Oryzias latipes: one gene and its partners. The protein of the gene in region 1 interacts with the protein of each later gene in a pairwise test. Links are inferred from orthologs where the notes say so. Each region holds a gene or a part of one and is shown on either strand. Other genes may lie near its edges.

Evidence for each region.
Region 2: the proteins of nif3l1 (region 1) and dhps interact in binary tests that used the Homo sapiens proteins (3 or more experiments, as listed by UniProt). The two-hybrid records come from large-scale screens. The link is inferred for Oryzias latipes from reciprocal best matches to the Homo sapiens genes NIF3L1 and DHPS.
Region 3: the proteins of nif3l1 (region 1) and sat1 interact in binary tests that used the Homo sapiens proteins (3 or more experiments, as listed by UniProt). The two-hybrid records come from large-scale screens. The link is inferred for Oryzias latipes from reciprocal best matches to the Homo sapiens genes NIF3L1 and SAT1.
Region 4: the proteins of nif3l1 (region 1) and bend7 interact in binary tests that used the Homo sapiens proteins (3 or more experiments, as listed by UniProt). The two-hybrid records come from large-scale screens. The link is inferred for Oryzias latipes from reciprocal best matches to the Homo sapiens genes NIF3L1 and BEND7.
Region 5: the proteins of nif3l1 (region 1) and natd1 interact in binary tests that used the Homo sapiens proteins (3 or more experiments, as listed by UniProt). The two-hybrid records come from large-scale screens. The link is inferred for Oryzias latipes from reciprocal best matches to the Homo sapiens genes NIF3L1 and NATD1.

What each region holds. Positions count from the first base shown.
Region 1 is NC_019877.2:7,708,877-7,714,756, reverse strand, and holds the start of nif3l1 (NIF3-like protein 1), read right to left. Parts: upstream 3,610-5,880; 5' UTR 3,539-3,609; coding exon of another isoform or gene 3,503-3,538; intron 2,655-3,502; 5' UTR 2,644-2,654; coding exon 2,049-2,643; intron 1,953-2,048; coding exon 1,796-1,952; intron 491-1,795; coding exon 367-490; intron 278-366; exon of another isoform or gene 253-277; coding exon 114-252; intron 1-113. UniProt on the Homo sapiens protein: May function as a transcriptional corepressor through its interaction with COPS2, negatively regulating the expression of genes involved in neuronal differentiation.
Region 2 is NC_019866.2:13,272,352-13,278,461, forward strand, and holds the start of dhps (deoxyhypusine synthase), read left to right. Parts: upstream 1-2,100; 5' UTR 2,101-2,232; intron 2,233-2,637; 5' UTR 2,638-2,642; coding exon 2,643-2,837; intron 2,838-3,079; coding exon 3,080-3,226; intron 3,227-3,308; coding exon 3,309-3,430; intron 3,431-3,763; coding exon 3,764-3,860; intron 3,861-3,970; coding exon 3,971-4,057; intron 4,058-4,180; coding exon 4,181-4,286; intron 4,287-4,358; coding exon 4,359-4,462; intron 4,463-5,137; coding exon 5,138-5,263; intron 5,264-5,667; coding exon 5,668-5,763; 3' UTR 5,764-6,110. Other genes in the region: guanine nucleotide-binding protein G(I)/G(S)/G(O) subunit gamma-12-like, read right to left, coding at 634-759, 967-1,065. UniProt on the Homo sapiens protein: Catalyzes the NAD-dependent oxidative cleavage of spermidine and the subsequent transfer of the butylamine moiety of spermidine to the epsilon-amino group of a critical lysine residue of the eIF-5A precursor protein to form the intermediate deoxyhypusine residue.
Region 3 is NC_019878.2:2,835,114-2,841,135, forward strand, and holds sat1 (diamine acetyltransferase 1), read left to right. Parts: upstream 1-2,038; 5' UTR 2,039-2,245; coding exon 2,246-2,308; intron 2,309-3,073; coding exon 3,074-3,125; intron 3,126-3,193; coding exon 3,194-3,274; intron 3,275-3,470; coding exon 3,471-3,572; intron 3,573-3,639; coding exon 3,640-3,680; intron 3,681-3,973; coding exon 3,974-4,150; 3' UTR 4,151-4,902; downstream 4,903-6,022. UniProt on the Homo sapiens protein: Enzyme which catalyzes the acetylation of polyamines. Substrate specificity: norspermidine = spermidine >> spermine > N(1)-acetylspermine. This highly regulated enzyme allows a fine attenuation of the intracellular concentration of polyamines.
Region 4 is NC_019864.2:20,634,737-20,640,786, reverse strand, and holds the start of bend7 (BEN domain-containing protein 7), read left to right. Parts: upstream 1-2,094; 5' UTR 2,095-2,367; coding exon 2,368-2,431; intron 2,432-2,795; coding exon 2,796-2,861; intron 2,862-2,939; coding exon 2,940-3,293; intron 3,294-3,467; coding exon 3,468-3,584; intron 3,585-3,660; coding exon 3,661-4,013; intron 4,014-4,452; coding exon 4,453-4,560; intron 4,561-5,090; coding exon 5,091-5,208; intron 5,209-5,315; coding exon 5,316-5,429; intron 5,430-5,560; coding exon 5,561-5,619; 3' UTR 5,620-6,041; coding exon of another isoform or gene 6,042-6,046; 3' UTR 6,047-6,050. Other genes in the region: prpf18 (pre-mRNA-splicing factor 18), read right to left, coding at 574-639.
Region 5 is NC_019866.2:14,550,492-14,556,636, forward strand, and holds natd1 (protein NATD1), read left to right. Parts: upstream 1-2,707; 5' UTR 2,708-2,727; coding exon 2,728-2,908; intron 2,909-4,289; coding exon 4,290-4,408; intron 4,409-4,506; coding exon 4,507-4,623; 3' UTR 4,624-6,012; downstream 6,013-6,145. Other genes in the region: myosin-9-like, read right to left, coding at 723-786, 1,203-1,219.

The DNA of each region.
Region 1 (5,880 bases):
AAAAAAATAAACATAAAAACATGGGGAAAGGTTTTTTGTGTATTTGTGTATTTGGTGCTGTGCAAAAATCTGCGCTAACAGTGTTGGGAGTCCTTAAATCCATGTTTGTTTACCTAACGTTTGCCCCCATCCCAGGGCTAATCGCAGATGACTCAACACCAGGTGGGACTTCATCCTCTGGACGGCTTCAGCCACAGTCACTGGCTGCTCCAAAACGCTGAGTCGGCCTTGGCCGTGGCCCGGCAGAGGCGGCTGCAAGTGTGAAGCAGGTACAGAGCTGCCAGGTTACCGGGGCATCACAAAAGGACACTGTTATTGGAGTCTTAAAAAGTACTGACTTGGTCTTTTTTTGTGTTTCTGCTGTACCTTCTCTAACTTCAGGATGCTGAGGGACTGACTGGAGCAGCTGTGCTGCAGCAGAGTTTGAACGCTGGGAGTCAGTGCTGAGTCGCTGCATAATACGCTGGCGTGGATCCCACTGCTGTCTGCTCTGGTTTGAGAGAAGTAATAACCGAGACAAACAACTTATTAACATCTGATGATGCTAGTATTATTTTCACATTAGTATAAAAACAACCCGGCATAATCAGAGCGAATCCACCATCAAACCAATTTTTTTTTTTTAGTACAGCCATAGCTCATTTCTACGACGGAGTATTAGGGCCACCAAAAAAAAAAAATTAGAGCCACCAAAAAAAAAAAAAAAAGTAAAATTACGAGATTTTATCTCGTAAATTTAGGAGATAAAAACTCGTAAATTTAGGAGATAATAACTCGTAAATTTAGGAGAAAAAAATTCGTAATTTTAGGAGATTACAGTGGAAGTGAACATGCAGAGCAGCAGGTGAACGCCGTGCAGCCGCAGAGAAGACCGACTAAACTTTGTTGAACAGGTGAGCTGTATGTTTATTGATAACGTTCCAAATGTCTGGAAAGTCATTTGTTCGATTAACGATTCATTAAAGTTGTATTTATTGATGGTTGGTTTGCAGGATCTCTGCAGCCCGACGAAGCCGTTGTCGGTGTCCCTGCAGCTGTTCGCTTGAATCCTTTCTTCCTCCACCAAAGACAAGACTCTACGTCTGTGTGACGCTTCCGTCACACAAAAGGAGGAGCACTTTTTTTTTTTGGCATTTTCAACGTTCCAAAGCTAATATAAAACACTATTTTCATTCCTCTTTATTGTTTTATGCTGAAACGGGACATTTCATCTGCAGGAGGGGGCGTTTGTAAGACTGTTTACTTCCGCATTGGTGTTGGGATGACAGGTTCATGACGTAATGAGACAAATGAACTTCAGGATATGTGAATGGAAAGGAAAATAAAGGCTGCAGCGGTCCTCTACACCCAAACGTGTCTCTGAGCTCCTTATTTTACCTATGAAACTCCGCTTTACTGACACTGAACCCCGGAAAGACTACTACACGGAAACTAATCTGATTTTGAGTCGCCAAAAGGTTCAGAATCTCTTTGTTTTAAACCTATAATAATCCGGAAATGAAGCTTCACAAAAGGCTCCACATACTTCATCTTCAAGCTAGGTTCCGATAAACGGACAACTTCGGTGTTTTTTCCTTAATCTACGACTTTTTTCTCGTAAATTTATGAGATTTTAAGTCGTAAATTTATGAGATAAAAAGTCGTAAATTTACGAGTTTTTATCTCCTAAATTTACGAGATAAAATCTCGTAATTTTACTTTTTTTTTTTTTTTGGTGGCTCTAATTTTTTTTTTTTTGTGGCCCTAATACTCCGTCGTACATTTCTGAATATATTCCCCAAAAATCTCAAACAACCTGGTTCCTGTAGAGATTAAGGATGTTCCTCCATCACAGGCCTTAAGCTCCTTCATCACTGTGTTTAGTTCCTCTGTGCTTCTCACTGTGAACTCGAGTTTATGACAGTGGGAGGCGTTACCAAGAGCCTGACTCAGCACAGACACTTGGCCGCTGCCTGAAATTCAAAGAACAACCCAGAAAAAAGCAGATTACAGGTTCACATGCAGCCACAGCAAGCCTAATGCAATTTCCTGCCAGAAGAGCTCCTTACCAAGGCCTGCAACCAGCCAGTCATTTACCCCTCCTTTAACACTGTCCCATGAAGTGTGAGGGGAGAAGACCGCAATCCCAGCCTCTACCGCCCGGATGGCCAATCGCTGCTTCCAATCTTTCTGGTTCAGTCGCTTAACAGGACGGAACAACGGCGGGTGATAGGAAATAATGAGGTCACAGCTCAAAGCCTCTGCTTCCGCCATGACTGCATCTGTGAGGTCGTTGGTCAGCAGGATGGTTTTGACCGGCCGAGGTTTGCTAGGCTCGACCAGCAAGCCGACGTTATCCCATGACTCAGCAAGAGACAGAGGAGCGAGCTGCTCCAGAACCTGCAAAGTTTCCTTTAACTCCATGGGGCCAGTAAAGTGGGAGCAGTGAGGAGGCTGGAAGGCGGAGGAGAAAGGAGGATGCAGAAAGGATGAGCTGTTGATGATTCGCTGTTGAGGAGACGAGGAGACAGAGGGAAGAGAAAATGATGCTGCTGAGGCAGAGAAGTGGAGTTCACTTTTAGGCTTGAACCTTTTACACATCCAAGTTCTTCTATGTACAAGTGATGCAAAGATCAGAAAGAGATTCCTGCATCCAGTCAACATGAGTGGACCATCTGCATAAAACAAAAAAGAACACAAAAGTGGGCACTGGGTGCTATTTTTTCCCTTTCGAAAACATATCATTAAAATTCAAGTTCCCCAATTACAAAAACGAACAATCACTGCTAACTTTAAATACATTTTTCTCAAATATCTTCAGGTTTCATGTATTTAGTTATTATAATATCACCTATAATAGCCCTTAAATGCCTTCAAAGAAGAGGCTGTAATATACTTATTTATTCCTAAAAGCAACAGCTTTTTTTGCTCGGTCGAGCCGAGCAAACTTTCATTCGTTTTTATGCATATATACTTTGCTCCAAAAATTTAAGTCTGCATATAAGACTTTTTTAAAGGCCATATTTACCCTCTGAAGAAAAACTTAATGTGACTTTATTTCCAGTTTTTTTTCCTGACCACAATATTAATTTTTTAAGATATTTCATTGGAGATTTTGGACTACTTCACCACGTAAAGTCGTGGAAGATTATAAAACTAGGTCTGATCCACCAATTTTGCTGAATTTAAGTAAAAGCAAATTTGGATAATTATTCTAATCCATCTAATCCATCAAATAATAATTAATGATTTTGATAGAAACATAATATACACACACGTATGTTTAAATAAAAAGATCTACTACCTGCACACGATTTTTATATGACCAACACAAGCACAACAATGAGTGACACACATGCGGCTAAGCACAACTACCTACCCCTAGCTAAGCTAGCAGATTAGCTGCGCTACTAGTGTCTTGTAAATGTTGATAGAAAATCACCCATTTTATCAAAATTCAGTGTTGCTATGATGAGGTAAAAGCCGTTTCAGAGCATTGGCAAATGTAACGATCTTGTCATACGTTCAGGAAGATATCAGAAACTTTGTGAGCTAGCATGAACCTCTGCGACTGTCAGTCAGAACTTTCTGCACAACCCTATAAATGTCCCTTTCGAGCTTCCGTTGTGTATATCGACAAAAAACGGGACATAAATAAATAGGCGTGGCTTCTGTCACATTATATTACGATACAATGTTTTAAAGATACATTATAATGCCAACATTATGACATTTTATTTTATTTTATTTAACTTTAAATTTTGAGCATTTATTTTGTTTAGGATATTAGTTAAGATTCATTGTCTAATTTTGAAAAAGTTCTCGGAAGGAAAAGTCGCTTTTAAAAGATTTGATTATAAATATGGTGAAATCTTTGGTTAATTTTGTGGCAACTGACTCTTATAAGGTTACCTCAGTTTTAGCATAGTTCCTTTAATGTCATGCAGAAAATCATTTCTGGAATTTTTCCAAACAAGTTGAATTCTTTTAACCACATTTTTAAGCTATGCTCCTTTCACAGGAAAAATAAAGTTCTTTAAGCATTTATTAATTTTCCTGTCCTTATGTTCAAAAAATTTGTTCACAAATACGTTACCAAAAAAAACCTTTTTGACCTGCAAATATTTACAGAGCTGTAAGCACAACGTTGAAACTATTGGTCAGTAGGCTAAAAGTGCAGAAGCTGCCTTACTCTGTCAGTGAGTAGTTCTTTATTAGTGATAAAAACAGTTTAATTCTCTTTAGACTGAAATTCTCTGACTGTGGACATTGCATTCTAAAAATGAAAGCTTATTTGAACAAACAGCTACTGACAATATGTCAGAGACGTTAAATGGAAACCAAGAGGGCATTAGCTTTAAAAGGTGCGTTTAATCAGCCATCCTAATAAATCCTTTTGGTGTTGCATAATAGAGCTCAAATGTAATGTTATGAAACAAAATTACTGATTACTGTCAACAGGAAAAGGCTAGATGACTCTGATAAGCTGTATTAATTCGAGTGGGCAGGTGGTCCAGAAGATACCCAGGGATCCACTTGCCTTTTCTCAGAAAGATTACCGACCACATAGTAACACGCAGATGAAATCTGTCTGCAGCTGGTGGTCGTGAAGGGGTTAAACATGCATTTTTGGCACGACAGCAAGCTTCTGGACAGAATGGCTTCTTTTGGATTAAGTCAGAGAGTGACCAAGAGAGAGATATTGGGGATTAATGCATTAAAGGTCGATGCTAGATGTTAGGAAGGGGGATCAGGGAAGGATCAGCGCAAAGGCCAGCCAGAGTGTATTACATCATCTGAGTCTTCCTTTGGCCTCATCTTTCTGTCCGTGCATGACATCTATCAGAATAACAAGGTCCTGCTCTTCCAGCAATCACACAATTTACATTGTCAGGACAGTAAAAGCATTGAAAAATCTGAGGTGTTGAGTTTTTGGAACAGAAACAAAGACTTAAAAAACACTTGAAACAAAAAAGTATGCTGTTATTTGGAGTTACCGTATACATTGCTTTGTTCTCAGTTGTTTGGTTTAGCATATTGGCTTTTTTTAATTGGCGCTATAAGCCTCTGTTGCCCCATCTGGCTGTCTGAGCCCCTTTTTCCATACAACATCTGTCTGTGCGCTGTGTCCAGAGTGCACAGTGTTCCTGTCCGCACTCCAAAAGTCTAAGTAGGCCTTTCATTTCCGCTGACTTTTAATCCATTTGGCACCATAGAAATAACAACAACAAAAAAAAACTCAGGGTAAAAGAGTTTAACAATTTCTGTGGATGTATTTTACTTATTTTATTGTCTCTAAATCAAAAGCTCTGTAGCTTTTTGTGGATAAATCTGTTATGTAAAATTCTCCTTCTTAGTATTTTGAGTTCTTTGTTCTATTTTCGTTCCTTTCTCCAAATGACCTTCAAAAAACAAGCTTATTCAGTCGACATTTGGCTTACAGAGGAGCATCTCTAATGTCCTTTGGTTTACAAATCCCTTCAGTGGGACATTATCCTTAGTAAAATCTATCAATTTATGGAACAAGCTTTGACTTCTCTTGATTACTTTGGGCTGAATGTGAAGACCTGGTTCACTAAAGGTATACTATTAATACGTAACACAGCAGAAAACTGTATTTATTCTTCTTCTTTTCCTTTCTTCTCTTCCCTGCAGGAGTCGTCACAGCAAATCCGCTTCCTCCATCTAACCCTGTCTTCTGGATCCTCTACTCTCTTCCTGTTGTCATTCACTGTGGCCTTCTCCACACCTCTTGCCTGGCAGCTCACGACTCAGCATCCTTTTACTAATATATTTACTGACTCTCATGAGACAGTGATTATGTTGGTAGAAGGATGCTGATGGATGCAGTATTTGCATTTATTGGTTATATATCACCTCTTTTTATGCTTTGTTTTTCTC
Region 2 (6,110 bases), on another chromosome or scaffold:
GAGTTATTACAAATGATGTTTACATCTGGGGATGCAGAAAATGAAATGGGTATAATCTACAGGTCATTTGTTGAAATAGGACAGCTGTGGATCTGATGCTGAGATTCAGACATTATAAATGTGAAAGTCAATAACAAAGGTCAAGTCAAAATAAAAAGCAAAAACACTTCTGGATTTGATGTTCATAATTTCCTTTTTTTTTCCTGATTCGCCTTATAACATTTAGTTATTTGGCAGTTTTTACATGTAATACTTCTATACCAATTAAAGGAAAATACAAACAAAAAAACAAAAGTCACAGCTGTGGAAGATGTGAAATGGCTAATCAAAAGCATGACTGGTTTAACTTAACCAAAATAAATAAAGAAAAAATACAAGAATTTTCAAGTGTTTTTCAAATGAGTTCACAACTAGATAAATGTAAATAAATGCAATATACATGTATTTCTGTTGTGTAAAACATGTCATGCTTACAAAAAAAGGCTCAGAAGCCAAAAAACATGTAACAGCAATAGGTATAAATATTTACATATTTTTTGATCATTTCTAATATTTTTATGTTTTATAACAGCTATGTTGTAGTAAACATTTTGAACATCTGTTATTCTTTGGTTATCTTCAGCTCTTCAGTGTTCAAAGCAGCACACAGGTTTTCTTTTCCTTGAAGGGGTTGGAGGAGGCAGCTATGCCCATGAGCAGAGGGTCGCTGCATCTGTGCTCTTGACAGTACTGGACCAAGTCTGCTGCAGTCAAGGAGATCTGCTTGAGCAAAGGACATTACAAAGAATATTACAATTTTACACACACACACACACACACACACACACACACACACACACACTTGGACTTTTGGATTCTTTCTTATTAGTTTGTTCCATCTGTTTTTTTCCCCCCAATCAAAGCAACAAAAATAATGTTTAAAATACAGATGTAAAATAAATTTTGAAGTGAGTGGTTTTCACGTACCTTAAATCTCACCATGCTTGCCTCCAGCCGGAGTTGCTCCACCAACTTTTGTGCCTGAATAACACTGTTGTTGCTGCAGCTGGGAGTTTTTCCAGACATCCCTTTCAGTGCAAGAGTTCTGTTTCAACAGTCTCTGCAGGAAAAGGGCGCTGGAGCAGTTTTTAAACTGACCCAGGGTGACCTCCCGTTGTGGACACTTTGCCCAGAGAGGCTGGTCTGACCTGTGCCCTCTTTTTATTCAAAGGTGTGGGCAGTTCAAAGACCCTGTGATAAGAGAAGGTCAACCGACCAAAATGTCAGCAACATCATACATTTTACTTCACAGGCATAGCTGATGAAAAACAGGAACACATGCTTTTTTCTATAAGAGTGCTGCAGTAGAAGAGAAATAGAATCAAGTTCATTTTCATTTTACCATTTGCAGCAAAATTAAAGTGCCAACTAAAGTGGCAGCAAGCCTATGTATATTCAATTACATATTCATTAAATTAATAATATATCAAATTAAAAGATTATACAAATTGAATTCTCTATCTAATGAAAACTGAATATTGAGAGGCTGTTGCAAAGAAGCGCTTCTTGAGTTTGTTTGACCCTGACCCTGATTATCCTGTAACCCTTCCCTGATAGAAATACAGATGTTCAAACAGATCATCTCCAGGGTCTGACATGTCTTTGAGGATGTTTTTAAGTGAAGCCCTTACCTTAAAGGTGCATTTAAAAGAAAGTCTCTTCAATTTTTGAACTGCTCATCTAAAAGTGATCACAGATTTCTGTTATACAACTAAATGTGTTATAATTTGGGGTAAAAATGTTACAAAAGTGGGCAAAATTTTAGATTTGTTTTGCGCTTTATTCAAACATGCTTTAAAAAACTTTATTATTAATTTATTTAATTCCTGCAAAATAAAAATAAGCAATGTTTCTAAATTGATTAAAGTTAATGTTCAAATTAAAGCATTATTTAGAATAGCAATTGATAGCGTAATAGTCAAATAAAACTTTTAAACACAAGCATGTACTTTTTTATTTTTTTAAAAGCAATGACAAAGATGATGGAAAAAAAAAAACCGGGAGAGTGAAGGTTTGCTTTTAAAAGGAAAAAAGTTTGTGCGGTTGGCATTGTTTGTACCTTCACGCTTTCCGTAGCTAGCTAGCTTCATGCTACATGTAGCCCATGCGATGGTTACTGGCTATGTTCCATCTGCGCATTTGCCGTCACCTGGCCCCTAATCCCATTATAACTTAGTCTCTCTTTGATAACAGGTATGTTTTAAAGTTTTCATGTATCTGTTTTCATTTTCACCTTGTTTAGAAGACTCTTTTAGTTAGCATCTGTGTTTCTCATCTGTGTTTATGATCCAAATTGTTCTGGTTTTTGTTTTGCTATATATTCAGATAGTTAATATTATGATTTTAAAAAAAGCAATGCTATTAGTAAATGTGTTTTTCAGCTTAATGGCTTTTTTGTCAACTTTATATTAATTAAAATGTGTTAAATTAAAATGAATTATAGTGCATCAAGTTTTGTTCTTGTAAAAATGTGCTTGGAGGAAAATGTACTTTAGTTTCTAAAGTGACCCCCCACCCCCCTTGTTTTTTGTTTTAAATAATCCAACTCAGAAACACAATGACAGTTTTTTTTATTGTTGTGGATTTTTTTGGTTGCAGGAACAATGTCAGACCACGCCCCCTCTGTAGCCATGGAGGCTGTCTTGAAGCCCAGCGATGACCTCCCTGACGACATGCCAAAAATCCGAGGCTATGACTTCAACCACGGAGTCGATCTGCAGGCGGTGCTGAAGTCCTACCTCACCACAGGCTTTCAGGCCAGCAGCCTAAGTTTGGCCATTCAACAGATCAACAACATGGTATGTGAGCCGAATAGAGAATAATTCCCTGTACACAGCTGTGCCATTCCTTATCTCCAGAAAAGTTTGTTTGCATCTTCCTTAAATATAAATTTAAAATGTTCAGTATTTTTTTCTACCTTATCTACTGATTGTACTTCACGTCAGACTTTAGATTATATTTATTTGGCATTGCTTTTGTGGGATTATTTTGATTAAATGTATGTCCCAGTGGCTATTATGAACTACTTAACACCTTACAGATTGAGAAACGCCTCGAGCCAATGGAAGCAGACGATGGAGATGAGTTAAAGCAACACTCGGGCTGCACTATCTTTCTGGGTTACACCTCCAATCTGATCAGCTCTGGAGTGAGAGAAAGCATCCGGTACCTCGTAGAGCACAAAATGGTACAGTTGGTTGTCATGCTTGTCCGAAACTGTCAACGCTAACAGACAGAGCCGTTTCTTACATTCTCTTACTTTGTTTTAGGTGGATGCGATTGTAACCACAGCTGGAGGAATTGAAGAGGACTTGATTAAATGTCTGGCTCACACCTATTTAGGAGATTTTAGTTTGTCTGGGAAGGAACTCCGGCTGAAAGGAATCAACAGGTTGTTATTGTAGATTTAATATGCTAATTTCTGACATCACTTGTTGGATTTAAAATGACAAAAATGAGGGATGGGCATTTTGACTGGCATTTACTCCACACAGCTCATCAACAGCTGCTCCTTTGGGTGCTGTTGTCACACTAAATTTTCTAGATAAATCTGTTATTTTTGGAACTATTTTTATTGTTGACTGTGAGTTTGCATTCAGTATCTATAGTCATATTTAAGCTGCAATCGCGCCTCACAGCAGCTTCATCAGGAACACATCAGTTAAGATACAAAAACATCACTCCTTCTCTGAACTCCTTCTCCTTCTGTCTGCCATGACTATAGGATTGGGAATCTGCTGGTTCCCAATGATAACTACTGTAAATTTGAAGACTGGCTGATGCCCATTCTGGACCAGATGCTGCTGGAGCAGAACACAGAGGTAAGGTTTTTTTTCTGATCAATTACCAACGTCTGAAACAGCAGTGATGCTTTAACAGTCACTTTTTAAAAAGATTTGCAACTGCAAATTCATTCCATTTCTCCCACTAGGGTGTGCGTTGGACTCCCTCCAAAATGATCCATCGATTGGGCAAAGAGATCAATAATACTGACTCTGTGTACTACTGGGCCTATAAGGTTAGCAAAATAGCAGTCGGTAACTGAAATGATTGAATGTGTTGTCATTTCTTAGCTTTTTTTAAGTAGAATTTGTCCTCATTTTATTTGCTCAACTGAATTTTTTGTGCCGTGTTGTTTCAGAATAACATCCCCGTGTTCAGTCCTGCTCTCACCGATGGCTCTCTGGGTGACATGATTTACTTTCACTCATTTAAAAATCCTGGCCTGGTTTTGGACATTGTAGAAGGTGAAAGCAAAAATCCCTTTTCTATAGTAAAGTTAGGGCTAAGTCGTCTCATGAATGTGGTGTTTGTTGCAGATATTCGCAGACTGAACGGTCTGGCAGTTTTTGCCAAGAAGACCGGAATGATCATCCTGGGAGGAGGGCTGGTGAAGCATCATATAGCCAATGCTAACCTTATGGTAATTGACCTAGTTCGTTAGTTTTCCCTTTTTCTCATTTACGTGGCACTTAGCACAGAAAATAACCTTTGTGCAGGGGGAAATTTAAGGGGAATTTCTCTGAAATTACACTTTTTTATGTCAAATGTTGCTTTCAACACATATTAAAAGAGCAGTGGTTTCAATTTTTGTTAACTGCTATATATAGTTTTATTGTGTCCTTTAAAAATACTGCAAAGCTTTTACGCCATTTCTAACAGCATGGGATGTAAATGTGCTTAGAAAGAAAACAGTCATTTTATTCAGAAATTAATGTAGTTTTTAATTTTAGATGCACTTTCTTTGACTAAATAGAGTGCTAATTTAGTTTTCTTTTTCTGACCTCCTTTTATGAAGCACAAAAACATGTGTATCTATCTATCTATCTATCTATCTATCTATCTATCTATCTATCTATCTATCTATCTATCTATCTATCTATCTATCTATCTATCTATCTATCTATCTCTCTATCTCTCTATCTCTCTATCTCTCTATCTCTCTATCTCTCTATCTCTCTATCTCTCTATCTCTCTATATAGAGATAGAGATAGAGATAGAGATAGAGATAGAGATAGAGATAGAGATAGATAGACAGACACAGCTGTTTTATTTTCCCCTCTCTTGACGCGTTCTCTTTTTGTGGATCCACTGTAGAGGAATGGAGCAGACTATGCGGTTTACGTGAACACAGGCCAGGAGTTTGATGGCTCTGACTCTGGGGCTCGACCTGATGAAGCCATATCGTGGGGAAAGATCAGAGCGGATGCCACGCCTGTAAAGGTGCGATCAAAGAATTCCTCACACAATGATTTTTAAGACTAAGATGCTCTTTATTGAGTAGTCATTACAGTAAAATCCTTTTAAGAATTTAGTTTTTTTTAACTTGATTTCCTCTCCACCTTAAATGACTTTAGTTAAACTCTTCTTGATAAGGGTTTCTGGTCTGGTGCTCAAGGCTTAACATCTATGTGGTTTGTTTATTTTTGCATTTTCAACCATGACATGTTGAAAGTTTGGTTTATTTAAACCATCATTTAAGAGTTTTATACTCGTATTTTTAATAATTTTCGTTTTACCTGTGATTCCTATTTTGGCCACAAGGTGGTGCCATTTGCCCTGTTCGTCTGTCGCACAGACCATAAATGAGTTTTTTAGATTCTCACAGCACTCGTTTGGCTCCACAGGTGTACGCAGATGCCTCTTTGGTTTTTCCTCTGATTGTGGCCGAGACCTTCGCTCTTCACTTCAAGAAGCTGACTGCTGAAAAGAAAGCAGATTAATGGTGGTTTTCTTTCAAGTTTTCCTTCCCTCCCAATTTAATTTATGCATTTAAATCCCCTTTTTCATTAAAAAAAAGTTACACTTTGGGCCTTGAAAAGATGTTGAAAGCCTCTTCAACACTGCTTTGCACTCAACATTTGGTATGACATTTATTCTGTGTATTTATAAATATTTAGGTAACCCTTTTCTCATTATTTTCAATTTGCTGGTTTCCCTGTAAGTTAAGAAACTGTGAAACTTTTGTCACAGTCTGAAATTCTTTTTGGTGTTGATCCCGACATTTGATTTCACGTCTTTAGTAGATGCAAGCATCACCTTTTATTTTCATATATTTTTTAGGAAGAAT
Region 3 (6,022 bases), on another chromosome or scaffold:
TTTCCAGTTTAATCCAAATTATGTCACATGTTTCTAGAATTTCATTTATTCCCATCAAAATTACAGGGGGACTAGTAAAAAACTTGAATACATTGTACGTATTATTGTATACATTGTTGTACTTTATTGATTTATTGTGGATATTATATTTAAAAATGTCTTTAACAATCTGTTTTCAATACTTCTTTTATGATTCAATAAATTGTGGACTCTGTGAATTATATTTATATTTCAAAGACAAAAAAAAGTTATAACTTAACACATCTGTAGCTATATATTGATTGGCCAGAAGAAACCATAGTCTCAAAGGAATGACTGGGCTTGAATGGGATTATTTCCATTTTAGCTATTAGCACACTTTGGCTTCAACTTGTTTTCATGTATCAAAAACAGACAACAGAATCACAAAAACAGTCTGTAAGCCTGCAGACAAACAGATGGGATGGCGGAAGAGGACTCCCAACCCATGTGAAACTATCCAATTCTGTCAACGTGACTAATTATCACTGGTATATTTTGAAGTGAAAGGTCCCTGGTTCAAGTCCCGGCTGGGGGACCAGAACCAGAACATCAAAGTTGGGCCTTTCTGTGTGGAGTTTGCATGTTCTCCCCGTGCACGCGTGGGTTTTCTCCGGAGACTTTAGCTTCCTGCCGACGTCCAAAATCCTGCTTCATGGGTTCCTCTAAATAGTCCCTAGGCGTGTGTGTGAGTCTGCATGGGTGTGTGATTGTGGCAGCCTGTTGATTGTGGGGGGTTATCGGCATTGTTTGTCGTGTCATTTTGTTTTTAAATTTGATTATATTTTATGCAAAGCACTTTCAGTGACATGAGTTGGAAAAGTGCTATATAAATAAAGGTTGAATTGATTGGATACTGTCCAAAAACATGCTTCATAGGTTAATGTGTGTCTCTGGATTGCCCCTAGGTGTGTGAGTGAGTGAGTGCATGGCCCTGAAACAGACTGGAACTTGTTCAGGGTGTCTCCTGCCTTTAGCCCAACAGTAGCTGGGCTAACTCCAGCTGCACTGTGACCACAAAAGGGATTCAGCTGGTTCTGAAAATTGAGGCACGATTCTTATCCATTACAATGCATCAAAGTATATAACACAATACAGAAACGGCAGGTGGGATACATATGTTACGCAGAAACACAAGGCCAGATATTATCTCTCCAGCTTGACCTGAATCTGCGGCTGGAAATACCTGTATGTCCACCAGAGCAGGATTGTTTACTAGCAAAAATAAAACTTTATATGAATTTTTGTATATTTAAATGGAAAGATATGTAAGTTCCAAACAGTGTACTTTTATTTAACAAGAACTGGGTAAATTAATAAACAATTGAATAACTACATTTTAGAAACAAATCAACTTGAAAATAAGACATCTACTAAAACTCATATATTTTTAAAATGTATAACTTATTTTTAAATATCTACCCAAGTGCATTTGGTCTGTGGTGTGTGGTAATGGCTTGCTGAAGTTTTCTGATAGTACTTTTAGTGTGCTGTTGTTTTCACCACAGTGGTTCACTGCTGGAAGATCTCAGTAGTTTCAACATAAACTTAAAGAACTGAGTCAAACAGACACAATAACTGAGAGGAAATAAAATCAGTTGTATTCTTCCATACATTGTTTTGGCTTGTCGGGCAGCTCTTTACCTGCAGGCCTCTGTTGTTTTCTGACCTAAAAAGACAGTCAGCCCAGCCCCTCCATCACAGACTTGGGAGGTGGAAAATTCCACTGATGTTGATTACAGGAGTCACTGCTGGTTTTGTTCTGACTTTAAACTTTTTCTTGTTGCTGTTTGCTTGATATATGTCCTATTCTATTTATGGATTCTAGAGTAAGTGATTCTTCAAAGAAAATTACTTTAACAGTCTCTTTTCCAGAGCACACATATGTAATGTCGCTGCGTATCAGCCTTTCTGCGGCCGCTGATTGGATGAAAACTGACCGCAGGGTGCCGCTGATTCGCCACAGATGAGGGGGCTGCTGGAACTGGCCAATAGCGTTCGAGCGCGAGCCGGGTGTATAAATAGTGTTGAAACAAAGGGAAGGAGTTAAACGGCAGTGACCCAGCCGAGGGTGAGCGCAGCTGAATGATCTTGTCCCGACAGACGCGTCCGGACCAGAGGCTGACTGTGGGGATAAAGCCACTCTGACGCGAATGAAGAAACTTCTCATCTTCCAGTTCACATACAGAGGACTTTTGACTAAAGGAAAAAAAGGGAAAAGAAGAAAATGGAGTATAAATTACGAAAAGCAGAGCCCAAGGACGTGCCAGACATATTACGACTCGTGAAGGTACGTAGATATAACGTCAACTACTATTAGAAAACAAAACAAAAAAAACCGGTCTGAACTGGACGCGCTTGTTCCGGTTAACGAGCCCTTTCTGCTGACGTCACGTTTCCCGCTTTGGAAACGTGTCGTCGACGGATAAAAAATACGGGAACTTTTTAGGAGAAGTGTGTCTGACAGCTGATGGTGAGACGGGAGGAAGGTCGGCAGGATGTCCGGCCGGCAGCTCAGCCCGGCGGCCTTTGTTTTTCAGCCAGACGGCTGGTGACCGAGTTAACTTCCGCCTCTCCATATATGGCTCTTCCGCCCGGCAGCTTAGCTTCTTATGGAGGCTGACCTCGGAGAAGTGTTATTATATGGTTGTGTAACGGCCGACCTGACACAGATACACACGTTTGACACAGTAACGCAGCTGAGGGGATGTCAGAATTTACAAACACAAGAAAAAAAAAACAACTAAAAACCGGAACAAAGAAGGAAATAAACGGCGCTTTTTGACACAACTTCATAAAAGCGGAAGTTGAAAACTTATCTGCCTAACCCGTTTAAAACTCTGCTGCAGACATAAAATACAGTACAAAGCAGCTGTCTTTAATAATAATCTCCAGCAGAAAACAAACTTTTATTTAGTGTTATTTGTCATTAGACGACGTCTTTGTCATCTGTGGAACATCCTGAGTCATCACTTTTTTTGGCTTCTGTCATGAACTTTTCTCTGGAAAAGTCTGCTCTCAGAATGTTTTTATCAACGCTCTGCTCTCATTCCAGGAGCTTGCTAAATACGAGGAGATGGAGCACCAGGTGGCGCTGACGGAGAAAGGTGAGTGTCCGGCGGCGTCCGCCCGCACGCCGACAGACCGTGTTTGATCATCGCCTGCTTCTGTGCAGATCTCCTGGAGGATGGATTTGGTGAAACGCCGTTTTACCACTGCATCATCGCTGAAATCCAAGGAGAGAGCAGCAGTGAAGGTAGGCGTGTGCCGCTCTGCTCAGCTTCCTGTTTGTTGGCAGGAAGAAGAGCCGCCGCCGGCTGCAGTTTGGGTTTAGTCAGACGTGTCGGCTCACGTGTGCTCTGGCTGGAGGCTCAGAGCAGCTGCAGGTCTGTGAAGGTTTCCTCCCTGCAGAATGGCCGGTGACCGCTGTCCCCCCCCTTGTCCCCATACAGATCCTAAGGTGGGGGGGTTTGCCATGTACTACTTCACCTACGACCCCTGGGTGGGCAAGCAGCTCTACCTGGAGGAGTTCTACGTGATGAACGAGTACAGAGGTGAGAGCAGCTCCTCCTGTCCTCCGGTGGGTCCCGAGCATCCCTGAACTCCTGTTGTCTCTTCCAGGTCTGGGGATGGGCTCGGAGATCCTGCGGCACCTCAGTGACGTGAGTTCGATTCCTGCTGCAGCAGCAACTGTTGATCGTTAACAAAACCTACAGTGTTTTTTAATCGATACCTTTTAGAATAAAAATATCACTTCTTGTAACATTCAAAACAAAATATATAAACATTGTTTTTTCTTATGAAATCCTGTAATGAAAAGACTCAGAACGTCTGTCTGCTCCGTTCCTCCTGTTGACTGCATGATGCTTCTGTGTCTGACTCATGAGCTGAGGCCTCCTCCTCCTCCTCATGTGACCAGCTGCTCTAACGTCTCCTTCTCTTGCTCCTGGTCCAGCTGGCGATGAAGACGCGCTGCACCGGCATGATGTTCGTGGTGGCGGAAAACAACGCCCCGTCCATGCAGTTCTACAAACGCCGCGGCGCGGAGGACCTGTCGCAGGAGGAGGGCTGGAGGCTCTTCAGGTTTGACAAGGACAGCCTCCTGAAGATGGCCACTCCAGCTGAAGAATGACAGGAGGTCCAGCAGGGCGGCGCAGGAGCAGGAGGAGACCCAGGAGTTCCAGCTCCACTCCCCTCTGCGCAGATGAAGCATGCAGATGTTTCGCTGTAATGGTTCTGGTGCAACACCTCTCTCTGATTTCTGATCTGAACTTTCCCACCAATAAAGAAATTCCTGATCTCAGAAGCTCCAGCCTTTCTGCTGTTTGACAGATCCGCTCATGTTCATGCAGCTCTGGACGTCCTCAAACGTGGACCTGCTCATCCGGGTTGAAGATGAGAACCTGAGCTCAGAAGAAGAGCTTTGAGAGGCAAACGGGGTCAGACTTGACCTGAAGGCTGAGTTTTAACATGCAGGCCCGTTAGAGGATTGTGTTAAGAAAATGTATTTCCATACTCATTATTTTCCATGTATTTATTTAAAGTCTTGGAGTTTGTTAGCTTAAATCCTATTATCATACCAAATCATAGTTTGTAGGCATGCTGGCTGGATGGTTTTTATTATTTTTAGTCTGGTGTTAACATGGTCGTTAGTCTTTCAGTTGATGGAACTGTAGACACTATATTCTTTGTTTTTCTTCAATGACCCTGGCATGCACTCGCACTTGTCTGCAGCCGCTCAGCTTCATAACAGCACTCAGCTCCCTGGGAGGTGAAGGCCGCAGACATGCAGCCGTGAGGAAAGAAAGGCGGAACCTCCAAAACGCTTGAATGTAACCGTTGTCTGTCTGCTCCTTGCTTGCAAGTAAAGCTTGAAAAGATAAACTTTTGAGTCTTATTGAATCTTTTTGCATGTCTGGAAAAACTGTCTGTGAGCCAACGGCGTCTTTACAGCCCGCCTTCAGAAATCTTTCCTGACAAGAGGGTTGTGTCTGGAAGGTCATCCGATTTCAAATATGCAAATCAGACCTGTGATGCCCATTTTAGAGGGAGGAAGCTGATTGGCTGAGGCGACCCCTGAAGGGAAAAGCTGACAGGAACAGGAGAAGATGTAAACAAAGTTCCTTTTGGACCACAGATCTGCTGAAAACCAGAAGCAAATGGCTGAATCACAAATGCACAGCAGCATGACATCATCAGGTTTGGGGGGTTTCTTTCAGAAACTAGCAAATAACCCTTTTTTTTTTATGATTGGGTTTGTAAAAGCTGATCAGACCGTTTGAATGACTCCTCTCAGCAGTTTGATTTGATCACTCAGCAAATGCAAACTGACTAAACAGTAAACCTGGGGAGCAGTGAAGCTGCTGCTCCTCTTCACACAGGTCAGACTATCATCTATTCCCCTGCTCTTGTTTTCAGATTCGACCTCAGATTAGACTTTAGATTAGACTTTAGATCAGCCCGTTATCCTCAGATAAGTGAGAGTGATTCCACAGGAGTCAGCGCCTTTAGTCTGCTCCTGATAAGACGAAGAGGAAATGTTCCTTTATGGCGTCTGTCTGGATCCTCTCCTTTAGATTAGACTTTAATCTTAGAAACCCAACAGAACCAAGAATATTCTGTTTGCCTCTGGAATCTGTTTCAAGTTAAATAAACAAAACAATTACAGTTGACAGACAGAAATGTCCCCAAAAGGGGCTTTTCTCCTTCACTTCCTGATGTTTCTGGAAGGTCACAGAAACGTCGGCTGTGTGCCACAGGTCCACCCTGCCGAGTGGAAGAGTTTGTTTTCTTCTGCTTATCTTGGTTCAAGAACAGTCCAGAAGAAAAACCTGCCCCATAAAAGTGTTGAGTAATGGAGCTCAGAGGTGCAGAGGAAAAACACAGAAAAGGAGTAAACTTTAACCTTTCAGTGCAGGAGGAGGACAGTCCCATCAGAGGAGCACCAGGAAGGAGCTGCAGCCCTCGACGTGTCTGACTTCAGTTATTTATTTCATTGAGGTCT
Region 4 (6,050 bases), on another chromosome or scaffold:
ATAAAGTTAGAAATTCTGTTAAAATGCAGTTTATTTTTCCACATGTATTCTGATATATTTTATGGATATTATGTACATTTAGGAAGTGTAAAAATGCTATAATGTTTTGTACGCATGCGCAATTGTTTTACGCCATGGGCGCTAAGCTAACAGTTGACGTAAATTTTTCAATTTTACTATTATTTTGTTCTACTTTTTACACATTCAAGATGCCGTTCATGATCGTTGATAACGCTTAGGTCAAACAAGTAAAGTACATAGTAAAGTACCGAATGAATATGAGCTAATGTTGGTTTAAAAAAAAGGTACCAGTCCTCTCAGACTCAGAACAGAACTAGCTACACCAAAAGAAACGTTACGAAACTAGATTATCTGTTTATTTATTTAAAGGCATGGCTACAGACATACTAAAGTGCATGGGATTTGTAATATTACTACTTTATATGTTTTTTAAAAAGAGCTTAACGTTGTTAAAAGACTGTCTATCGATGATCAAGCCAGCTCAGCTGAGCTAGCTAGCTACGAACGAAGTGCTAATTTAGTTAAGTAAGTGTGGAATTTTTAGACACTTACATCAACAAGCTGATTCTCTTCGAGGAGCTTTCTTTTTCTTGCTATTTCAGCTTTAAGTATATCCATTTTTACAAAGCTAATATGAGGAAATTAATGGTGAATATATCCAAAGTGTCCACGATACAGAGTTGTTGTGAAGCCGAATGGACCGGAAAATATTGAAAGACTGAACTTTCATTTTAAAAGTTGTGCGTTTTACTGCCGGGTTAACCTTTCAAAATAAAACGGCTTTGAAAAGACTGACAGACGTAAATGAATGATAAAGTTGTTTTTCAGTAAGTTGTTCTATTGCATTGAGGATTGCAGAAAAATTCAAGAAATCATGTTAGTTTTATTTTTTTCATCTGTTTTATTTTCAAAGTTTTAATTTAAACATTCCAGCTAAAAAATGGAAAGGTTTGAAACCATCATTTAAAAAAAACACATTTATTATGAAAAAAAAGCAACATGAAGCAAGGATATGAAAACAACAACCACAAAGCTAGAAAGCTTTGAGAGAGAGAACTTTTAAATTATTCCTTAACAAAATTCCGTTTTTGTCCTAGCAAACCACAGCTTGTTTGTGTTAAACTTTGTCACAAAAATTGGCGAAACGTTACGGGTTCCGTAAGATAATGGCAACTATTTAGAACTATTTTTTAGTCAATCTCATTTATTTAAATGTTAAGCCAGTTTAGTTCATCTTTTGGAGACCGGGGGGGGGCAATTTTACTTCATCTGTGTTGAAGTAACTTGATTGAAAGTAACTTAGAAATCGTGCAATCCGAATTAATAAAACTGTTTATTTTTGTCAAACTTTATACACAATCTATCTCGTTTAATGGTGGTCGTTCTTGTCCATTCCTGCTTTGATATTGTGTTGCAGACCCTGCTAGATCGGCTAGTAAGTCACGTGGGTTTTTGCTGCTTCTATTTGTTTCATTGTGTCCATCATTTGTCCATAAGGTAAAAAGAAGTGTTGGCTGATATGAACATCCCATTTACAATAACTCAAAAAGCCTGAAAGCCCAAATTAAAACAAATAATTTTAAGTTCTAAATGATGAATTCAGAAAACTATACTGCGAACCAAAGCCAAAGAAATCTCTTTATTATTTGAGCTACTTTTCTAAAAGGTTTTTTTTTTGTCAAATTGAAATCCTGTGGTATGTCAGCTGCTTTAAAACAGAGTAAGTGTATTCATTCATTCACTTTTTCAAAAGTTTCATTTTTCTAATCAAATCAAGCTTTACTTATAGCACTTTACAACTCGGGTCACCCAAAGTGCTTTTATTGTTTGGCATTATTTATTACGTTTATCTATATTTTTGAGTTTTCTGCTCCAGCTGTCGAATGTCCGGCTTTCAGTTGTCTTTTTTTTATCATTGCCGTTAAACCAAATAGAGGATATTTAATTGGGGAAGAGAAATGAAAAACAACGATTTGGGTTTAGACCGCCTTTATTTAAACGCTGGCTTTTGTCTGAAGTGACTGGCAAATATGTGCCGACCTTTTTAATGAAACATGCCATCAGGTGGCGCAAAGGGATATAACCAATTCTTATATTAAAATCATCAATTCATTTACATGACCAGAGGGAGGGTCGGGGTAGTAATATCGGGGGAAATGGATCCACTCAACAATATTCTTCTGTTTTTCGGGCTGGGAATCTGCTGGTGAAAGGATCGGACGCGCTGACTGGGAGGAAATTTAACTGTTTAATAAGGCAAACGGACAGACGGTGATTCCACTCAGGGTTTCGGTCCCTGGCTGGTCGTTCTGAACGGCGTATTTCAGCTCGACCTGCGGGAAAAAGATGGAATTTGGAGAAAGAAGGAGAAGGAGGAAGTCGCAAAGCTTCAAACTGGTCGCAGATGAAGGTAAGCTGCTGAATGGATGCAGGAGACGCGTGTCTGGCTGGCTGGCTGTGTGTCTGCTGCTGTGCGCGTAAACAAAAGCGGCGGCCACGGCATGTCTGGGTTTGGAGGGTTCAAATCGTCATCCCCAGCTTCTATGTGGATCGTGACAATGAAGGATGTTCTGATCTGTTGCACATCCAGAACAGGAGCGCAGGATGTTCACCTTTTTTAAAGCTGCAGCCTCTCTCGAAAACTACTTCATACAACCTACAGGTGGTGGTTTCTGCATGAGATGGGAAGGGGGGTGGGGGTGTCTGCTTTTGTTGACAGTCATTGCGGCTTTTTTACACAAGTTTACAGCAACAACCTTTTGTTTTACTTGCAGACCATGATTCTTCACTGAATTCCAGCAGCAAGGATGGCAAAACTAAAGATGCAGTTGTGTCTGATGGTATGTGTCAGATTGAGCATTGATTTGTCACTTTACCATTTCTATACCTGCGCCCACACCCATTTTTCCTCAATGCAGTTTGGCTGGAAGATGAAGGTGTTGAGATCAAGAGGCAAATCACAGGAATGATGAGGCTTCTGAGGGACAAGACTGGCCGAGTGTATCAGCGTGTTGTTGCAGATTGTGACGGCACAACAAATGATTCCCAGGATAAGCATCTGAGTTGGATTCACCAGCCTCCATTCCTGTCTGTGGTACCAGATGACCATCAAGGCAACAGCTGGCTGTCAACCGGACACTCAGAGCTTTCTGTGCCATCCCCATCTATACCTGTCCCCAATGGTCCAAACTATGGCCAGTACAGCACTCGCTCCAGATCCCTCAGGATTTTCAACAAAACCAAGGATGTGAGCAAAACCAATGAACAAAATGGTAAAACAATAAACAATCTGTGAAAAATCTATTAAAATTGACATTAAAGTAGGGTTTTTTTTACATTTAGTAAATCAAAGACAGCAATTCAACCATTTTTTTCCAGTCAGAAAGTCCACTTTGCCAATGTTTGCATGGATCGTATCACTCATTAAAGCACCTCTGCATTTCCAGATGTGGCGCAACCTGCAGTCCAAGAAAGCTCGTGCTGTATGTGTAACTGTACAGGCACTCTAGAGGCTATATTGCAGGAATTGCGTGCCATGAGGAGGCTGATGCAGACTCAGAAAGGTCAGAAAATGTGGCCAAATTGCACTGGGATAAACATAAAGAAGGCATAACAGGTTTTTGTCTTTCATTTATTTAGCATCCTTTGGAAAGCATCAACAAGCAACACCAGTATGCCAACCTCGCTTTAGCCTGGGCTCCACTCCGCGCAGTCTTCACAGAAAAAGAAAGTCTTACTACAGGGTGGCGCCTCTTACTGTCTCCAGCAGTAAAAAAGTTGTTCTTTCTCCTGTGGAAAGTTCAGCGCATCAAGCTGCACCACCAGCAGAATCTGCAAAGAGGGAAAAATGTGAGAAACTGGACTCGTCAGTGCTGAACATGCATCCCATTTCCCCTGATATTTCGGCACAGTCACAACAGAATGATTCAGGAATAGTGAGCAAAATTCATAATCCTACCTTAAGCCAACCAAAAGAAACTCAAGCATCAGAGGTAAAACCTTAATTTGTTTCTCTGTAAAGTTTGTTGCAAAATTTCTTAGAAAGTTTAGACTTTGTTTAGTTTGTTGATTTAAGTTTAATGTTTTGCTAAATTTATCAAAAAACAAAAATGTAAAGTAATTGATATAAATTGTTGAACAGAATAAGAAAGTTGCTTTTTTTAGAACTTTTTACAAGACACACAAGATCTAAAATTTCTGTAAAGACTAAACAGACTCCAAGCAAAATGTCATGAGACTGGCTTCTTTCTGAGTTACACCTGGTGTAAACTTTATCTTTATTGAGCCATGTAAAATGACCTTAATGTATTGTTGTACAATGAAGTCTCAACCTTTTTGACTTCAGTTCTTAAACCCAGTTCTGAATTTCAGTTGTTCATTTCTGTTTAATTTTTGGAACGACTAATTGTTTTGTTCTGTATTCCATCACAGAGTGAGGTCCGTCTTGCAGAGGAATACGACGTGTTTATATCTAAAGCTCAGCTAGATTCCATCTTGGTCAACTACACCCGCTCTGGCAGTCTCCTATTTCGCAAACTGGTATGCATTCAGCTAATTTGGAGCCCTCTTTTTTTTGTGTTATTTTTAGTTTCTATTTTTTAAATGACTATTTCCATTTTTTGATCCCAAAATATCTGGCAATTTTCTGTTGAAAGGCTCACTTTGATCATCTTTTGAGCTGTTTAAAAGCATTCTCAATGGTCTTTTAATTATGATTATGCAGTTTTTAGCCTTAATGCAAAATACCTGCGTTGTTTTCGTGGAAATTATTTTTGCAGAGCGGCAGTAGTTCATTAAAAATGTGCTTCTGAGTTGTGGCTGTGAGAAACCCCGCCCCACTTCCCATCTCCGCTGCTCAAAAGCTTGTGGCCCGCCCAGAATGGCAAATATGTTCTACTCCTTATTCATATTTGAATAAAGAAATGCTGAGAATGCAAATTTTTAGCTTAATTTTCTTTTATGTCCGACGTCAGGAGAAAAATCCCACAAGAAACACAATTTTCCTTGGAGTGGATCTTTAACAAAATAGAAGTCAAACAGAATGGTCAGTAAATTTGGTTTTATTGTAGGTCTGCGCCTTCTTTAATGATGTTACTTTGGCTAACTCGTTGCCAAATGGTAAAAGGAAGAGAGGGCTCAACGATAACCGAAAAGGCTTGGACCAGAACATTGTTGGTGCCATTAAAGGTAAGAAAGTGGTGGATCCAAAACCTCTCAGAGGTTTGTCTTCTTCTTTGACTGGTTTCTATGACAAAGTACACTCTGTTTCTAAAGAAACGTTTATCACGTTTTAGTCTTTACAGAGAAATACTGCGCTGAACACAAAATAGAGAAGCTGCCTGGACCTCGGGATTGGGTGCAGATTCTTCAAGACCAGATTAAACTTGCCAGAAGGAGGCTAAAAAGAGGTCTGCTACTATTTTGTATACCTTTCGTTAACGATTTAAATTTAGTATTTATTCCTTTATTGAGCTATGTGCAATTTATTTGGTAAATACTGACTAATTTTTCTCCTAAGTGCTATTTTCATTATCTTCAGATGCAGCAGAAACAGAGGAAAACTGCAATGGACCATCCACAAGTATTAACCTCATTTGAAGTACTCCCATGTATAAAGCAATGAAAGTGACTCACCCTTTCCAGATTGTTTGCTTTGAAATTTTTCACCTTTCCTTTTCACCTCACACCAGTGCATCACCTTGCACCATCTTTCCATCGGCCGCCGTCTGGACACTCAATAGCCTCACCTTTCTTGGCTTCTCGGCCACTAAACACACCGAATGGTGTTGCCAGCTCACTCCTTGGCTCACAGATATTTGTCATGCTGTCATGATGACATTTGACTTTTTCATGCAGCTTACCAAAATGTCAGCTACTAATCTTCAAACCGTGCACGGTTCTCTCGCGGTCACCTTTTACCCATGAAAATGTAAGACTCTAAAGCAGCTCCGGAGCTCAGGCAACTTTGCATGAGTTCTGTCTGTCAAAAGCACGCTGTGACACTTTTCTTTCTTTCACAGGCTGATCAT
Region 5 (6,145 bases), on another chromosome or scaffold:
TACACTTAATCACACTTGAGCATCAGAGAACCATTAGATGCAGGCAGTCTATTCTGGTCGCAGCAGATGCAACGTTAACAAACTGCAGAGGCAATAATTCTGAAGCTGGACCTCATGACAGAGAAATCAATTGTGTGGAGTCCAAGCAGTCCTGACTTAGCAAGTTGTGCAGATTGTAAATGCATCTTAAACCATAATCGTTCACATTAATCAAGCTAAATGCATGCACATTTTACCAGAAACACCTGCCAAAACAGACAGATAAGACTCAACACAATTTTAAAAACTCTAGTTCTGTCTTGGTGCATGTTTTGGATCAATGGTGCTAAAAAGAAGGCTGTTCGAAAACTAAAATAGCCTCTTTTTTAAACACTTAGTTTCATTGAATATATAGAATTTTTGATGTTAAGAAATGCATTACAAACTAAAAGCAGCTTTAAAAGGGTGCTGATCTTGATTGCTATAAGATTGTGGAATTCTCATTTTTAAATCATTCTTACAAGATAATGCATTCAGTACAATTCCTGTGGAAAATGAGCAACATCATGGGTTGAAATTAAATGAGGGAATATATTTTTATGACTTTTGCTGCCATAAAAGAATATCATTTGGAATATTTTTAAAGTAAAACGCTGTCATTGCATCTGTGTTTAACAAATTCCACACTTAGATATTTCTAGCACAACACTAATGAAATGATTGAATTTCTATTCATTACTTACCCTTCCCTTGTGGTTTGACTGCGGTTTGTTGGTCTTTGTGGTTACCAGTGTCTCATGCCACTTGCTTCATAAAACAGCAAACACATTTTTTTGTGTTCAGTACAGCATAGACAACAGTTCTTTCACGATGCAATTGTCTTTAAAGCTTAAATTCAACATTTAAAATCCCTTATGATGTTTCTTTTTCAAAGCCAGAGGACTGAGAATAAAAAAAAAACTGAAAATAGAGCAGAGCATTGATTTATAGGTAAAAATGTAAAACTTTTGCTAAGATGGGCTCTTTACTCACAAGATGAAATCATCCATAATAAATGGTATAAATGGTTGGTAAATGCAAGTTCTAATTCTCTAACCAGAAATACTAGGACTGTGCTGGAATATGAAAGTTTACATTTACGCAATAATAGAAATTTATTTTCTAATCAGATTAACTGATTTGACACTACAACACATCTAGTAAATAAGTGAAAGTTGGCTTACCTGTGTTTTTTAGACATCTTTTCAGACACCGAATTAAAACAAACCTCTGTAAATGACAACAATAATAAATAAGAAGAAGAACTTGGTATTAAACTACCCTTCCAGCGAAAACTAAAAAACGAATAAGACAAAAACAAAGGGAAGAAGTCTCACATCATTGCAGACGGCAAAACCTGAAGAAGCAGAGAGCTACCTTCACAAAACCCCACAAAGATTTGACAAACCTCATTAGAGTTTTGTTGGATTAGACCAACAGATTAAAAGGATTTGCACACAAAACATTAGTGAACTTGACGCACCGACTTAGAGTTCAATACGTGGAGATGTCTGTGTTTATGCAGGGACAGAAAAGGGATTTTACCCCGAAAAAGATCCCGAGAGTAGTGACGAAGAGAAGACATTGCAATCGTGGCTATGAAAGGTAATCTGGCCTAATTTGAGCTATTGTAATCCATTTCTTTGTGCTTAAATAAAGATAATCTAAAGCCATGTTCATAAAACCCTTATTTCAAGATTGTTTTTAAATGATGCAAACATGATACAACAGCCTAAACAAAACAAATTGTATAATTTTTTTTAATTAAAATATATACTAAAACAAACGGAAATAAAGGAAAGTCTTGAAAAATATACATAAATACAAAATGTTGTAAAAATGCCATGATAACATTTCTCAAAATTTATAAAAGAAAAGGAAAAAGGGATGTTCTTCACTATCATTTTGAAAAACATTACAAGAAACTTTTGAATTCTGGTTAGATAATTTAATTGCATTCCTTTTACATTAAAAAAATATTACTGTGATTTATTCAATGTAAAAATAACCCTATATGTCCTTTTATTGAATTTCAAGTTATTATATTAATGTTGTGAAACTGATATTAAACAATTTTACGTAACCTTGTGACACGTAAACAAACTACACAAGAACAACTAACAATACAAAAACTGCAAAAACATTATTTTTAAATCCAATTAATATGATTTCATTGCATCATAATCATTTAAAAAAATTAAATAATTAGTCATTAATGAAACATTTTTTCAGCTTACAATATTTGAATTGGCCAGACCAAATTTTACAGAGAGGAAAAAGAATTAAACCTGCGAAACAAATAATAAAGTAGAATATTACTCACAGAAATAGAAAAAGAAACCTAGATAAAGTGGACGTCGGGATATCACATCCTCCAATTAAAACAATAAAGGTGACACATATACAAACTTTTGCATTAATTTCACTTTAAAAATCGTCGATTTTTATGTTGTTTGTCAGAAGTAGAAGATTGTGTTATTTTACGAAAAAAAATGGTTTAAGAAAAATAGATTTCGTATTTTTATTTATATGTTTCTATTTATTATAAGTATTTTTAACTATATAGATTTGTGTAGTTTTTATTGTGATTTTTAACTACTGTAATTCTTTAACCAGAAAACATTTATTTTCGTACCTTAATTTCTCATCTCTGACGTACATCGAGCTGATTGGCTAGTCCCCACGTGACCTCACAGCTGATTGTGTTGGATGAAGTGTTTTGCTTCAGTACGTTCATCGTCGTCTCATGTAGCCATTTCTGGTTATCAGCACCGTAGAGTAGCTGTAATACCCCCAATAATGGCTCAAGCGCATGCCTTTGACACCAGCGGCTCTCAAATCCAGGTGGAGCACGATAAAAAGCGCCGGCAGTTTGTCATTAGGCTCAATGGTAAGTTCCGAATGTAAACATTAGCACGCTCGCGCTAGCGCGAGGTTGGCTTGAAGGTTAGCTTTGTCTGCTTGCTAACATTTTTACCTTGTGGGGAACTCCAGCTGCCATTTCTGCCACAGCTGCGCTGCGTTGTTCGGCACCACATAGTCGCTGTTACTCCTTTTATTTTTCTATCAGAAATGTAGTTCATAAACCATGAATGTCTAGGCGGTTTTTCCCTCTCTTTGAGGGGAAAAAAACTTTAGTCGCTTCATTCAACAGATGCTTACTTTTTGCTCCAATCTTAAAAGAAAAGCTGTTTCTTTTCCCACCTATTACATTTCTAAGTGTTTTAGCAATATTACTTTGCTGGTTTATATGCATGGTGGGCTGTAATTTAAAATAATTTATGTTTTTACCATTTACAAATACTGCCTTAAATATTTGCTTTTTTTTCAACTTTAATATGTTTTTTTTTTAATTTATTCAGTTTTTATAGCAAACTCAATTACATAAAGATCTCATCAGTTTCTCCAAGTCAATTGTGAAAAGTGTATTTATATATTGAATGCCTTATTTCACTGAACAGTAATACATTCTATTTTTTTCACATCTTTATTGACTAAAGTTTTAATTTATCGTAAACTTTCAAACTACATCTTTGTACTTGATGTGTGAGACACTATAACGTGTAGGACCTTTAAAGTCCCACTCTAAGCAACTCTTGATCTATGTCCAAAGCATTCCCCGTGCTTTTTTTAACCATGACTGTGCCACTTTAAGCAAAAAAATAATAGTAAATAAAATTAAAAAAAAAAATCAGTATTGGGTTTTTTTTGGGGGGGGGACATATTTTCTGCAGAACGACAGTAGTTCATTAGCATTTTGCCTCCGAGTTGTGGGCGGAACTGTTGGTGCGAGTAAGTACAACGCTCTCCCAGTAGCCTACAGCCCCGGCCTAACATTTGCGGTGCAACAAAAATGGCAAGAAAATGAGGAACTATCCAGCTGTAAAGTTTAGAGCTAGATGCCAGTTCAGACAAGAGAGATGCAGACATCAACGGATTTAGTCATATACAAGTGGATGCATCAGAATGGAGCCGAACAGGGAGCTTGTCGCTTGCCGTAGTAGCTTTTACGTCACACCCACAAGCTTTTTCAAACTGGATTTGCTCCTGATTCCTAACAATTTGAATAAAGAAATAGTCAGAAATGCAACATGTTAAAAACACACGGAGTGTGTCTTTAAAAGGGTCTTTATGACTAGTGTAATGTTGTTCTACCGGCTTTTTGTGTTATGTGTGTCTCTTCGCTTTATAAGGTCAAAGGGTCAAATTTTTCTGGGTGGACCAGAACTTAGCAAACACAAGAAAGGCTCAGCTTTTGTCTCATTCCTCAGGATCCCATGATCGTGCAGTTCTTCTGTACGAGTATGTCGGGAAGAAAACGGTGGATTTGCAGCACACAGAAGTTCCAGATGCATACCGAGGGAGAGGCATTGCCAAACATCTAGCCAAGGTAGAATAGATGAATGAATTCTTGAGTCATTCTGAACGACAAAGTCCTTTTTGGTTGATAATTTGGCAGTTCACTAACTGTGCTTTGTGTAACGGCAGGCAGCCATGGATTTTGTAGTGGAAGAGGACCTGAAGGCTCACCTGACCTGCTGGTACATTCAGAAGTATGTCAAAGAAAACCCTCAGCCTCAGTACTTTGAACACATCTATCAATGACCCAACACAGCCCTGAAGAAGGGATCGAGACAGAGACTCGTGGGAGGGAGAAATACTGTGACGGCATGCCTTGCAGCCGCTGGACAAAATTCCACACACCGCCTCCCAAGTGTTGTTGAACATGTCATTGAGGGAATCCAGAGACAAAACCATCTCTATGATCTCACGCTGCCGTGAGGGTTGACCGTCCTGTCAAAGGGCCATTGACATCCATCACAAAGGGAGGGGGACTGGAGTAAAGGAGAAGCTCCGTTCGGTCTTGTTGTTGCGGAGCGACTGAAGGGTGGTGCCTGAATCTTCCAGAGTTTACCCTCAAAGCTGACTTGAAACAAGTGCAGATTTAAATCAGATCTGATAGGACTTGTTTTTTTTTTATGTCTTTCCTTGGAAATACATGCATTTCTTATCCTTGTTTGATATGGGTATAATGGCAACAATGGGTGCTCCACTTAAATTTAGATTTTGTAGACTTTCAAATTTGCCCCCTGTGTGTTATATCTCATTTTTGCCTCCTGATGTAAGTTTTGTTTTTTTTGTGCTAAAGTCTTCAAATTAATCATGAAACTGCAGCCATTTAATTTTTTTTTTCTTTTGTCATCTTTCACCTACATTTGGCGAGTCACATTTTATTAATAAATACAATTTTAAAGTGGAAGAAAATGTTCAAAGCCTAATTTGGTAATTATTTTCCACTGTAAAAGACACATATGGTGTTTTATTGGAGTTTTAAATTAATGATTTCATTGACAAAGGTGCAGGGATTTGTAAACTATTGATGTCCTGTCAATTTCTCTGTTTATTGCTCATCCTGGCATTTCAACGTTTGCCGTCTCTAACCAAAAACACACTCTTGAACTGAGGGCATTTCCATTATGTGCTGTGATGATTATTACTTTTTCCTTCCAGTGACATTTCATTTGCAATCTGCAACCGAACTGGTGGTTCATATGCCACTGACATTAAAATGAGTTCAACATTTGACAAATAGGATTATTGAGGTGAAAGTATTTTTTTTCTTGTAGATATTTTGCTGTTAACAATCTTGTATGTTTAGTTAAAAAAAAAAGTCAAAAACCTCAGGCCACTCAACACGCCTTGGCATGCAAGATTAAACTGTCTGCTGTGATGGCCAGCCGCAATAAGAAGTCCCTTTGGAAACATTTTGAGCAAGCGCCTAATGCCCAAGACACTGTCAGGTTTTTTTTTTTTCAAGTGGAGTTTTTGTGCTTATTTTATTGCTTCATTCAAAGCAAACCATGCCTGGTGGGAATTTTCAAGCAGGTTATTTTGGATTTGTTAAATATTCACATTCTTGTTACACAGTTTTATACTTGATAGCTTTTCTCTGTACCTATTTTAAATACATAAATAAAGATAATATTCATCAAATGTTGTGGAAGTGTGATTTTCAAATTAAGCAGGGGTGTATATGTTAATTTTCCTCTTGAATTAATATTGTTTTATGCTTTTAATGCATGAAAAAAGGTGGCAAATTACAAATTTAATGCAAAATTAATTTTTC